2 linked regions of the Drosophila melanogaster genome follow. The protein of the gene in region 1 interacts with the protein of each later gene in a pairwise test. Each region holds a gene or a part of one and is shown on either strand. Other genes may lie near its edges.

What was found.
Region 2: the proteins of Khc (region 1) and Klc interact in binary tests that used the Drosophila melanogaster proteins (3 or more experiments, as listed by UniProt).

What each region holds. Positions count from the first base shown.
Region 1 is NT_033778.4:16,266,435-16,273,557, forward strand, and holds Khc (kinesin heavy chain), read right to left. Parts: upstream 5,538-7,123; 5' UTR 5,052-5,537; coding exon 4,905-5,051; intron 3,820-4,904; coding exon 3,360-3,819; intron 3,222-3,359; coding exon 1,342-3,221; intron 1,271-1,341; coding exon 830-1,270; 3' UTR 526-829; downstream 1-525. Other genes in the region: csul (capsuleen), read left to right, coding at 1-219, 285-440; CG33017 (uncharacterized protein), read left to right, coding at 5,878-6,207, 6,271-7,123. UniProt on the Drosophila melanogaster protein: Kinesin is a microtubule-associated force-producing protein that may play a role in organelle transport. Milt and Miro form an essential protein complex that links Khc to mitochondria for light chain-independent, anterograde transport of mitochondria.
Region 2 is NT_037436.4:12,746,105-12,751,780, forward strand, and holds Klc (kinesin light chain), read right to left. Parts: upstream 3,953-5,676; 5' UTR 3,859-3,952; intron 3,736-3,858; exon of another isoform or gene 3,606-3,735; intron 2,795-3,605; exon of another isoform or gene 2,703-2,794; intron 2,579-2,702; 5' UTR 2,554-2,578; coding exon 1,952-2,553; intron 1,838-1,951; coding exon 1,717-1,837; intron 1,651-1,716; coding exon 1,171-1,650; intron 1,100-1,170; coding exon 794-1,099; intron 727-793; coding exon 709-726; 3' UTR 512-708; downstream 1-511. Other genes in the region: CG32109 (uncharacterized protein), read left to right, coding at 1-132, 193-374; CG10984 (uncharacterized protein), read left to right, coding at 4,503-4,635, 4,698-4,751, 5,203-5,676. UniProt on the Drosophila melanogaster protein: Kinesin is a microtubule-associated force-producing protein that may play a role in organelle transport. The light chain may function in coupling of cargo to the heavy chain or in the modulation of its ATPase activity.

The sequences.
Region 1 (7,123 bases):
GAGCCGCAGGCTCTGTTTGAATTCGTACATCCTAATCGAGCGGAAAATATTGACAATACTCGCTGCAAGACGGTTTCATTTAAAGTCAATAAAGATTGCGTGCTGCACGGAATCGGCGGATACTTTGATACCCATTTGTACAAGGACATCTGCCTAAGCATCAATCCTCTGACCCATACGCCTGGCATGTTCTCCTGGTTCCCCATGTTCTTCGCAACGGTACGTGTGATGTGATTAGTTAGCCTTTGATAACTGCTACATTAATATATATTTTTACTACTCAGCGTCCAAGAACTCTGAGGGAGGGACAGACTATATCCATCCAGTTTTGGCGATGCGTGGATGCAACCAAAGTGTGGTACGAATGGCAGGTGGTCAATTCTCCAGACGATTGGGAGCACCATAACACACGCGGGACAGGTTACAACATGCGATTGTAACAGCAGACGATGTAATAACAACCAATAGCCAAATAATCGGCATAATTTTTTTGAACTGCAATAAGAATCAAACTAAAGAGACCTTAATTTGTCTGCGACTTTTATTTAGGTTTATGTTTGAAAAGTTTATAAATACTCTTAACGTATATAGATGTCCTTACATATCTGTGGGTTTTATTATTTTCGGTTTGTAAAATTTAGTTAATTTCCGGTTTCCTTTCATTTATTTAATTAAATTATATGTATGTATATTTAAAGCGCTGCACATGATCGCGACACATCTCATCTAAGCGAAGGCAATTATCAGTTATGTTAAGTATGTATAACGTAATCCATTTAGTTTAGTTTAAAGCGGAGCTGAACTGGGCGGCGACAGGTGGTGATTGGATCTACGAGTTGACAGGATTAACCTGGGCCAGCGGGGATGGTCCTCCAACGGCGCCACCACCACGAATGGCGATTGCACCCTGGCCGGACCGGATCGGCTTGGCGATCTGTGCCTGTGGGCCACGTCTGCCCAGATGCTTCTGTCGCACCGCCTCCTTGATGCGGTCCACCTCGTATTGGTAGCGCTTGCGATCCCGCATTGCGCCCTCCTTCGCCTCCTTGAGCGCTGTCTCCAGAGCTTTCACCCGCTCCATGGTACAGCGTAGACGCTTCTCCAGCTTGGGCAGCTCGCACCGCAGATCGGCGTTGTCCCGCACCAATTGCTTGTGCACCTTGGTCAGCTGGTCGAGGTTGTTCTCCAAGAAGGAAATCTTCTGTTTCTGCGCGAGTGATCCACCGTCCTCCTCGCTCTCCTCGTTTACGACATTCTTTCGGATTCGTTGCTGTTGGCACAAGGGAAATACATTTTAAGATCTGTACGTAGCAATAATAGATAGGATTGCTTAAACTTTACCTGTAGATCCTGAACGAAAAGTTTTCGCAGGTTGTGTAGCGTCTGCAACTCCTTGGCCACCGTGTCCTCCAGGCCCTTGAGGTCTTTGCGCGCTTGCTCCCGACGCTCGTTGGTGAGGATGATGTTCTGAAGCTCGCTGGACTTCTCGGCATCCTCCTGGCGCACCTTCTCGTAGTCGGCCGTCATCTGTTGGTGCGCCAAGAGCAGCTTTTGATGGACATCCTTCATCTCGTCCATTTCGTGCTGCTTGGCGGCAATCTCATCCCGGAGCTCGGACACCTGCCGGGTGTGGGCTTCGCGTAGCTCGTCCATCTGAGAATCGAACATGGAGCGCAGCTCCTCAGCCCGCTGTTTCTCCTCGGCGTTAACGGCGGAAACGTGCTCGGCGGCCTTGAGCTTGGCGCATTCCTCGCGCAGCGAATCGATTTGTTCCTCGAGCGTGCGCTTCTTGTTCTCTGCCTCCCGCATCGACTCCTGCAGCGACTTCATGCGTGCCTCGTGCTGCGAAATGAGTAGCCGGTACTCGCCCAGATCTTTCTCATATTCGGAGATCTTCTTGTTGGAGTCAGCCTGCTGTGTTTCCATGTTGGAGCATCGCTGGGCAATGTTCTTGGCCTCCGTCTTCATCTTGCTGATAAACAAACGCGCCATGGTGAAATCTTCCTCCACCTTGCTGGCATCCGTGCCAGCCAGAGCACTCATCTTGAGGTCAATGCTGGACTCGCCGGGGGCAATGGCCTGGCCCACTTCGCCAAGGTCGCGCAGTAGGTTGGTTAGCATTTCCGTGATGCGCTTCTTCTGGTGTGAGGACATGTCCTTGAGCTGCTGTAGCTCTGTGGAGGCGGCGTTGAACACAGACTGCTTCTGCTGCAGCTCCTCGTTGAGGGCATCGATATCCTTGTTCTTGTTATCGATCTCCTGGGATTTCTGGTCGTAGTTTACAGCCAGCTCTTCGAGAGCTTGGAGCACCTCCTTAACCTCTTCCTTGGCGGACTCGTTCTCCTGTTGGATTCGCGCCATCTCCGACTGCAAAGTCTCATACTCACGCCGAGCGTTAGCGATGAGTTCCTCCTGCTCCATCACCTGCTCCTTGAGCTGCTCGGCGTACTGGCTCTGCTGATTGATCTCCTCATCCTTGTCGTCCAGCTGCTGGTAGAGACGCTCGCACTCTGTAGCCAGCCTGGCCTGCTCGTTCACGGCAACCGATGCGGACATATTGGCGAGAGCCGTTCGCTGGGCGGCCAAAGCGGCCTCGGCCGCCGCCGTCTGTGCTGCCTCCACTTCCAGGTTGGGCGTGCTTGCCTCCATGAGATCCTCCATGTTGATTTGCTCCTCCGCCTTAACAGTTTCACCCGCTCTCCAGCGCGCAAGCTCGATCTCCAGCTTCTCCACCTTACCCTTTAGTCGGGCGTTCTTTTCCTTCTCCTTTTCATAGCGTCGCTTCCATTCCTCGGCAGTAAGCTCCTCGTTAACGCAGACCACGTTCTTCACTGTCTTGGCTCTACGACCGAAGTCCAGCGTTGACTTCGTTTCAGATTCGTTGAAACTGGCTGGAGAGCAGCAGATGACGATGGTTGTGCGTGCATTGCCTCCCAGCGACTCCTGCAGGATGCGCGTGAGCTTGGAATCACGGTAGGGGATGTGCGTTTTGTTTCCGTCCGCCAGGGCTGAAATTACGTTGCCCAAGGCCGACAGCGACTTGTTGATGTTCTTGGCTTCATCAAGAACGGTTCCCTCCGCTCCAGTCTTGGAAACCTTCTCGGAACCGGCCAAATCCACCAGGTAGAGTTTGCCGGATAGTTTCTTCTGGTTCTCCAGGTTCTCCTGCTTCACATTGATAAGGAATACTGAGTGGGATCGCGAAGAATGCTCGTTCATGTCTGAAAGGATGGATAAATCGTTATAAAAGATGATCTGGTACATGAAACACTACAATCGAGGTCAGAGCGAATGCTGGAATAACTCCTAGACTTGTTTGGCTGAAATGGTCCTGACCATCGATTTTAATTAGTACTCACTTGTCACAGCGATGTGACGATTGGATTTGCCCTCCTCGATCACCTCGAAAACATCCTCCGGCGACGAGACGAACCGTTCCGTAGCGCCCTTGACGTACGGCACCCGGTTCTTGTCCTCGTGCACGCTTAAGTTCACCTTGGAGACGTCCAACAGATCTCGAATCTTGTCCATGTAGATCTCGTAGTAGGAGACCTTGATGTGAAACTCCAGGTTCACCTCCATCGCGTAGATGTGATTGAAAATGTCGTTGACGATACGTGGTATGATACCCTGTTTTACGGAGTCCCCGATCACGCCCTCCATCGTATGCGTTTTTCCGGAGGACGTCTGACCATATGCGAATATCGTTCCATTGTACCCGGCCAGGACATCCGTAACAATGGACTTGGCCGCCTCATTGTAGACCTTCTCCTGGGATGCATTCGGTTTGAAGACCTTGTCGAACAAATACACCTTGCCCTGCAGACGATGGAGATTAGGTTTAGTATAATGTGTTTTTTTCTTTAGTACATAGCAGCCAGTTACATTAGCTATAAACTGGTGTCAGTTGCGGTGAAATTTCTTTCGGAGATTCATTCCCCCTGTCCCCGATCTTTTCCCGCTGACTGCCTTTGAATCATTTTCAACGCATGGCCGCGAAGCAGATTGTAATTATGAGCATTAAGACATGTTAAGTGGAAGGGGGAAGAATAGTGAATAACGAGCGCCAGAAGAAAGCCACAGCGAAAGAGAGATAGATAGAGTTAGTCAGAGAGAGAGAGAGAGCGTAATGATAATGTCTGTGTATGGAGGCACTATATTAGTGCTGACTTTTTTGGAACTGGTTCAATTGCCCAAGCTTTACCAGGAATATGACGGATTACACCTGGCGGAAAAGCGGGAAATTCAGCATAGCATACAAAGCAATAACATTTCATGTGGCATAAAAGCAATACAGCCAAATTCCATTGCCTCCAAAGTTGCTCTTATTGTTTTTCCTCATATTTTTTTTTTTTGTATGCTTTGCGTGCATGACTCATTGGCGCGCGGACAGGGGAGTGGAAGTGGAGCGGGGGCTACCGTCAATGTGTGTATGTGTTTGTGTGGAAATGTAAGTGAGGTAAGCACTGAAGGCGGACTGGAAACTAGAAAAGCGCATATTTATGCGGCCCAAAAGAATGGAACACCCGCTTTTAGCAGAAAACCGTCTAGTGGGTGGCATTTCTCCACCCCGTCATCGCGCTTCTTTCGATTTACACACCCTATTCTTTTTCGACTGGGGGAAAATCAATTTGGTGCAAAGCAATATTGATTTGGAGTAAAGTTAGTTGGTTTCATCATATACATGTATATGTACATCTAGTTTTGTTTTGTGCAATTATTCATGGGTAACTTTAGTGCCTCTCTCTTTTTATCGCCTGGCATTCCAATTGGTCGGCAATTTTGGGGAAGGGTAATGTACGCTAATAGGCATGACGTCATGGCGCGGCACGCCGAGATTAATGCATAACACATAGGGAAAAGGCACTGGGGGCTGGCGAAAACTATAGATCTGGAACACATACCGCTATGGATATGCAGTTCTCCTCCACATTGTTGGGGAACTTGACCACGAACTTGGAGCCGGCCTTCTCTTCGCTGTCGTTCAGCGGTCGGAATCGGCAGACCACTTTGATGCTGTCCTCGGCGGGAATCTCTCGTTCCGCGGACATTGCTTACAGGGCGGAGATAGATCTTTCTGGCGGAGATTGTTGGATTTCTGCAGCTCTGGGCGCGACCTCTGCGCATGCAGCTCACTGTTTACGTGGATAATCAACGGACTCGCTATCGTCCGCACTATCTGCTGTTCACTGTTTGCTTGTGCCGATTCTGGTACTCCGTTTGGCCCCTTTTGTTCCGATTCTCTGCTGATTCCGACACACTCGCGAAAATTGGGTTGGGGGCGGCTCAAATAAGAAGATGCAGTGAAAATTTTGTGGTTATACCAGACACAAAAGTTGAATTGGTCAAATGGCGATAACGCTGGAGCGCAACCTCGATTCTGACTGCTCCGCGTCGTACTGTTTTGCACTTTTTTGCCCGGAATGATTAAGTGCAGCCGCTAAATGCACTCGCATACGTTAGTAGGTCGGAATTAGTTGCACTCAAAACTATTTTATTATTCGACTATTATTTTCGCTACTGTGCGCCAGTGTGACCGTTCTGCTCGCCCAGCTAAATACCAATCGCCATTTAATTGCACAATAATACTGAATTAATACTCTCAAAAGCTTCGAATGTATGAGACACCCTGCAGATCTTGAAAATGGTAACGGCATATAATATTCCTAATTAAGCGATACCGTTTAAAAATCATTCAAAAATTATTCAAAATTGCTTGTTTATTGTCACTTTTGTTTTTCCTGTCCAAATATTTCGGCTTGGGCGCAATATATAGCTCCAAACTAGGCATACAACCTCTGTAGGTTCAATAGGAAAACGCTATGGAAGATTGATCACCGAGTCGCTGGAAAGGATTGTGGAGAACAGAGGGGCACGATGGCACAGAAGGATATTACGTCGTATTTGAATTTGGAGCGATTGAAGAAGACGCAGAAGCTCATCCGACTTTATCGATCGAACGAGTGCCTCTGGAATCCAAAGTCACCTGGTTTCCATAGTGGTTCTGCGAAGGATGACGCCTGGCGACAAATCACCCGGCGGATGAACTGCGGCCTGACTCCTGACCAGGTGGAGCTGCAGGTGCTCGGTCTGCGGCACTACTACTCCAAGGAATTGGCCGCCATCCGAAATAGTCAAATTGAGGGTTATAGTTATAGTCCAAGGTACTCCTACTTCGAGGACTTGCATTTCTTGGGAAACTTGGAGGTGAGTGGATGGTTTTTGCACTGGATATTGAATAGTGAACCATTATCTTCTATTTTTACACAGGAGGAAGCTAACTGTCCCATTAAGGAAGGACATTTCCCACCCAATTTTTCGGAGGACACATTCATATCGCCTCTAGCTTTTTTAAGTCCCAGCTGCAGTGAAACCAGGTGCGGGTACACCTTCTACAAGATGATTCTAGAGCCTGAGCCACCAAATGAAGAGTTCTTAGGTGTGCACCATGAAAGATCTACGTCCGGCAATGATCGGTGGTATCCCACTGCGTACTGTGTTCGTTGCAAGCCAGAGGAAGACGAAGATCCTTGTGAAGCGTGCGAGCTAAGAGGTCAAAGCAGTCGTCCTCAATTCGGAAGTAAGAGCTCTTTAGAAGGCGGAGAAAGCGGCAGTACCAACCCAAGGATGTCTAATCGGTATCAGGAACAGGATCAGTCAAATAAATTCCAAAAAAGTGATAGCAAACAGTATCGAACTGGGAAACCATGTTCATGTCCCACGAAAGACAACCCAGAAAAGCGTTCATCGCAAACGCAACAAAATGATGTGTACGTCGGTGCTGACAACTGGGATGGTTACGAGTCCGTCGGCAATGGTATACGCAGCGATAGATGGCCAGGTCCCAGACTATGTTCCCAAAAACGCGGAGAGTGGAAGCCCAGGTTCCGTAAAGTAATCGGCGAGGACAATCAGAAGTCGTGCTGCGACAGCTGGAAGCGAAATAATAATGCCGTGTGCGGGAGACTTCTAGACCAGTTGGCCAAGCAACAGAATCAACCCGGCAGTTACTCCGACGATGGAGACTCCGTTCGGAATCAAAGCTGCGGCTGTACGAAGAATCGCCGCCAGTCAGGCGAGGATCAGTTAAACGTAATGCTGTTGCAGAAGAAGTATAGGGATC
Region 2 (5,676 bases), on another chromosome or scaffold:
CGAATTTCCTTTTTGACATCATAACATTGAGAAGCAATGTTGAGAGTGACCCAGATGAAGCTGAAAAGGACTACGAGGAAGTTGTGGAGGGTTTGAAAAACGTAGTTTGGTCCAATGTCAAGTTTGGTTCTGGTTAGTGCCCAGGATTTGAGTTGAGAAACCAATAATCCATTTCGTCCTATTGATTTGCAGATCACAAGGAGGAAATCAGTGCCGACGAGCTGGATAGTCAGCTGAAGGACTTTGAAAACTTACTCCTCACGGCGCAAAATCTACGTAACGATACGAGTCTCACTCGGGAACAATTTCTGGATCGGGCTGAGCAGTTTGCAGGCATAGTTTCCTCGATTTTAAATGACAATGATAGCGACTAACTGATACTCAGTTATCGTAGGCAAACTAATCGTACTGTTTGTTATCAATAATAAATGTTAAGCTGATTCCACTGTAATGTGCTATATCTGGTCCGTATTTTTGGTTTAGTTTTGAAGGTTTAAATACAAACAGGATTATGTTAAATATATTTGGTTTATTATTAAAAGCGGTACATATTTTTTGAAATAACAAGGTATAAAACGTTGTTTATTTGCTAATGTATGCTTGAGAGCTTATGTATATTAAGGAATGAATAAATAAAGTGTGTGTTTGCTGTTAGCTTTCAATCATAAACTTAAAGATTCCGTTGTGGGCGATGAACAAATAATATTTTTATGGTTTCGCATTCTTCTGCAAGAATAAATGGGAATGATTAATTTAAGTTAATTAAGTTAAGTGATTCGATTTTGAAACTCACCTCCTCAGAGAAATCCAAATCCTCTTTAATTGCCTTCGATCGTCGCTTTTCGTTTGACGTTAGCAATTGTGAGAGCTTCGTTTGTTTAGCTAGATCGTAGGCTTCTTTTTTACTCCGCATTGCACAGTCTTCCAGGGTTTCGGCCGCTTCAAACATGCCTTGACGTCGGTAAAGTGCTCCCAGATTTTTTAGAGTGGTTGTGACCGTGGGCGAATCCACTTTAGCGGCCTTATGCCAACCGCCGTACTCGCCATATGGAGTGTTCTCCCTGTTATCGAATTTGTGCTCCTCACGCTCCTCAGCCACCTGAAAATTGTAGTAAGAAAAGGAACTTTTGAGTATTTACCAGGCATAACAGCACAACAACACAACATTACCTGCCAAATGGGCTTGTTTTTGCTGTCGATGGCTCCAAACTCACGTTCGTGGGCTCGCGTCAAGACCTGCTTATAGAGGATTTCAGCTTCGGTGTATCTACCTTGCTTCAGATAGCAGCCGGCCAGATTATTCTTTGTCTTGGCCACGTTGGGATCATCGGGACCCAACTTTGATTCGTAGATGTCGAGAGCTCGCTGGTAGTACTTCTCAACCTCGTCGTATTTGCCCTGATTCTGGCAGAGCAGGGCGAGATTGTTAAGTTGCTTGGCAACATCGGGATGATCCTTTCCCAGGACTTTCTCTCGGATCTCCAAGGCACGCTTGCACAGTGGCTCGGCATCTTTGTACTTGCCACGTTTGCCATAGAGGACGGCCAAGTTGTTCAACGTGGCCGCCACGGCTGGATGGTTCTCGCCCAGTGTCTTTCCTCGAATCGACAGAGCGTCGTTGAGTAAATTGGCGGCCTCCTTATACTTGTTCTGTATGGCACGAGATGTTGTTAATTAACGATTGTATAAATTAAGTTAATCAAAGCGTAGACGCACCTGATCGCGGTACACGAGAGCCAAAATGTTCAGCATGGTTGCTACATCGGGATGGTCGTGACCACTTGTCCTTTCGAGATCTTCCAATGCTTGCTTGCAGAGGGGAACGGCTACCTCGTATCTAGAAATATATTAGGCTATTATAGTTAATGATGAATTGATAGATAACGATGTTGTAGGTAAGGGGTTTCTTTAGTGCTCACGAGTAAAATAAAATGCATGGATGATGACTTACCTTCCCTGCGATGCATACTGAATGACCAGGTTGTGCAGAGTACGGAGACGCGCTGGAATCTCGTAGCCGGAAGTCTGGTTGGCGAACTGGCTGGGCGGAGTGGGCGACATGTTGTGTCTGTCCTCGTTTTCCTCGTCCGGGAATAGCTCGACCACGGGATCGGTGCGGGACTTGTCGCAAGCGTCGTCCTGCTCCTGATTCTCGTCGTACTTCTTCACGGACGCCATGAACTCCAGGTGCTTCTTCTCCTCCTCTAGTTGGGCCACCAGCTGCTCGGATGCCTGGAACTTTTGCTGAGTGTTGGCCAGCTCGTCGCGAAGCCAGGCGTTCTCCTGGTGGAGGCGGCGCACCTGTGTCTTAAGCTTGTGCTTCTCGGCCTCGATGTTCTGCAGATGGGATGTCAGGGCCATCATCACCTGGGCCTCGCTGAGGCCCAGTTCGATGTTCTCGATGTTCTTTCGCAGCATGTCCGACTTTTCATTGTCCTTCTGCACCTCGGCGATTCCGTTCATAATCGAAACATGCTCCACTCGCAAGGCTTCGAGGCCTTGAAGGACTGTTTTCGTATTGGTTATGATTTCGTCCTGCGACATTTGCGTCATTTTGCCGATTTTCTCAATTTTCTGTCTACAAAACACATACAAAATACAGATTAGTAAGTGCTCCTACAACCCTCTGACATCTGAAAGTGTAACAACATGAATGATATCAAAATTAAAAGGTGTTAATCGAGGTATTTGATGTGTTTTACATCCTGTATGATTTGATAGCTTTGGAGACAATCATTTTAACCGTATATTAAACGATTCTAGCTGCGTTAATCAATACGATGAAAAAGAAAATTCGCAGTGCGCATGCACGTTAAAAAAGGTGGTTGATAATCGAAAATGCCCGCGCTATTACATTCGCTGTAACAATAACTTTTAGAAACTACAGAAACTATTAAAAGTAAGGGATCAACTTTCTGGATTAAGTTAACTTCAATTTACTTTTAAGCCAAACAAATTCCAGTTCATTCAATTATGTTTTCTAATTGGAAACTAATGGTGGAAGCATATTCGATTTATATCGAATACTGTGCTTTGAAAACTTTCTTTTATTTATTATTTATCAACATTGCCGGTGTGATTTACATAAACATGACACTTCGTTAAAAAGTGTTTAAGGCCATTTAGTTCGTTTATTATGGTTATAATTATGGGCGAAAGTTAATTACACTTGGCGTCATGCAATAAACAAAAAACGAATGGCAAAAGTAGCTGCTTACATCAACTAAAATAAATTGTATAGTTTTTTAGAGACCGAAGCTATTAGTACCCTAACATATTCAAAATTATAGTTTTCTTTAGTCATTTGCCTTTCGAATCGGAAATCTAGATTGCGTAAAATGAGATTGTAAGTTGATTTTCGAGAAAATAGCTTTATTCTTAATCAAGATCGCCAAATATTGTGATTGGAATAGTCAGATTATAAATATTGCAAATGGGGTTACAACACCCCAGCTCACTAATTCCAGTGTATTAAAAAGTGAGTCACTTTTTGTACATAATATCTATGAACACTTAAACATAAAAGTTAGTGGCATTAAGAGATTGTATTTAGTATTTATCATGCTAAACGATTACTTAGGCCTTAGGCCTCCATTTGTGTTTACTTTGCCACACGAGCTGCCGCCGAGCACTTTTCCAACTAGACTTGATTATTTATGTAAAACGAATCATATTTTCCAGTAAAAAACTTTTCTTCAAGTGGCAGTCACTTATATTTATGTGCAACATATGTACATACACAGATAAGCTCAAGTAGATGTGTTTGTGTGTGGGTGAATGGATTTTGTCGTTCGAAATCCAGTTGGAAATGATTATGCAAGTTATCGCGCAGTGCATTCAAATATTGTAACTTATTACCAGCGGTTTTGCTCTGCAAACTCCTCAAATAAGCGAAATAGTGCGTAGATTTGCTATAAAAATATCTTACACTGCAAAACTTCTAAAATAAAACTGAGTGTGACCGTAGCCGGGGCGTTGAATTGTGTTTGACAAGCTAGGATTTTCTTCAACTGTGCAGTAGTGGTCACACTGTCGGGAGGAGAACGCAGTGGAATCGAAACACTAACTAAAGAAATGAAAATTCCTGAAAAAATCGGGTAGACTAACAATAAGACTTCGTATAATAGCTAAGATGTAGTATAAATAAAGTAGTAGTTAAAAGTAATAATGCGCAACATGCTATTTGTAAGCATCTATAACATGTTGGAGGTCAACAAACGCACATACCTTGGTGGAGCAGGTATTGATTTAGTTCAATAAAAAATTTAATTTTTGGAACTAATTAAAGGTGTATCTTGAAATTTGTACACATAATATATAAATTAATTTGTTGTTAACTTAATGGATTTGAAAACATCGTTATTATATTAGCAAGCTGGCATATTTTTGTATTCACGATACGGTCGCACTATTCTTTTTGTAATAAATTTTGCAAGACTTTTTCAAGTCTCCGTTTTTGTTCTATATTTTAATTTTTACCGTCTAAAACTGAACAAAAGAGTATGCCACCCCCAAGACCGAAGGGGATAGGATTTAATACAGGAGCTACCCAACCCAGATCGAACTCAAACACGCCAATGTCGGAGAGGCAGCAAATGGCTCTGCTCATCCAAATGACAGCCAACTCGTCGACAGGTAAATAAGCAAAATAATTAAGTGAATGTCTACTTTTCACATGATTCAAGTGGATTTTATAGTTCAGTCACAAAGCTTAGAACTTTTGCTCGTCGGCTTGAATTTCAATTTACATCGTGGGTACTTCGCTGCGTACATACTTACACGCATATACATCTATGCATGTACATATCTACGTATGTACATACATAAATGTATCTGAGAGTCAGGAATAATGTAAAAGTATCCGAGAAACTGGTTTCGATTGCGGATAAATTGTCATTTAACTGATTCAAATGAAGATACCAATTATTATTGAAGAAATATGTGTAAAGATGTCAAAAAAACCCTGTCTCTTATCCGAGCTAATACTTTAGAAACCAAAATTAAAAACAACTCATTTAACGATGCTTAAGTTCTTAGTTTTCACACAAAATCATTTTAGTTGGTTTTCCTTCAAACATAACTACAAATTCCACCCGAAAAGATATCCGATAGACAATAAGCTTTCATTTTACTTCCTACATGATCTTCCAAACTAAATCACACAGCCGTCAAATGTAATGTATAAGATTCTCGTTCTTGCAGATTCATCCCGCACCACCTTAAAGAAGAATGAATGCAAGAAAGGAGACGCAGAGACTGACGAGGGCAGCCTGAATGAGAAGCAAGAGGTCCTGGACACGAAAGACAAATCTTCAGCGGAGGAGAGCAGCAACGATGGTAAATCCAGCGATACGAATCATCAGGGAACTTCGGCTGCCAAGCGCTGCTACTCAGACATAGAGGAGGACTACGAGGAATCTGGCGAGGACGTAAAGAAAAAGAAGCGCAAGGATTCGGAGCATGGAAAGGACGTGAAGGGGGCCTCCCTGAAGCTCACATCGCGCGTGGAGAAAAGCTCCAAGCTAGCTGCAACGAAGGGATCCCCGTCAGGAAACAAAAGCAGCGCTTCCAATGCCGAAAAGGAGCCGGCGGAGACTAGTAAGAATGTAGATATTGAGAACGAAACGGAGTGCAGCGATGATTACAAGAGTAACGACAGCCTATACAACGGAGGAC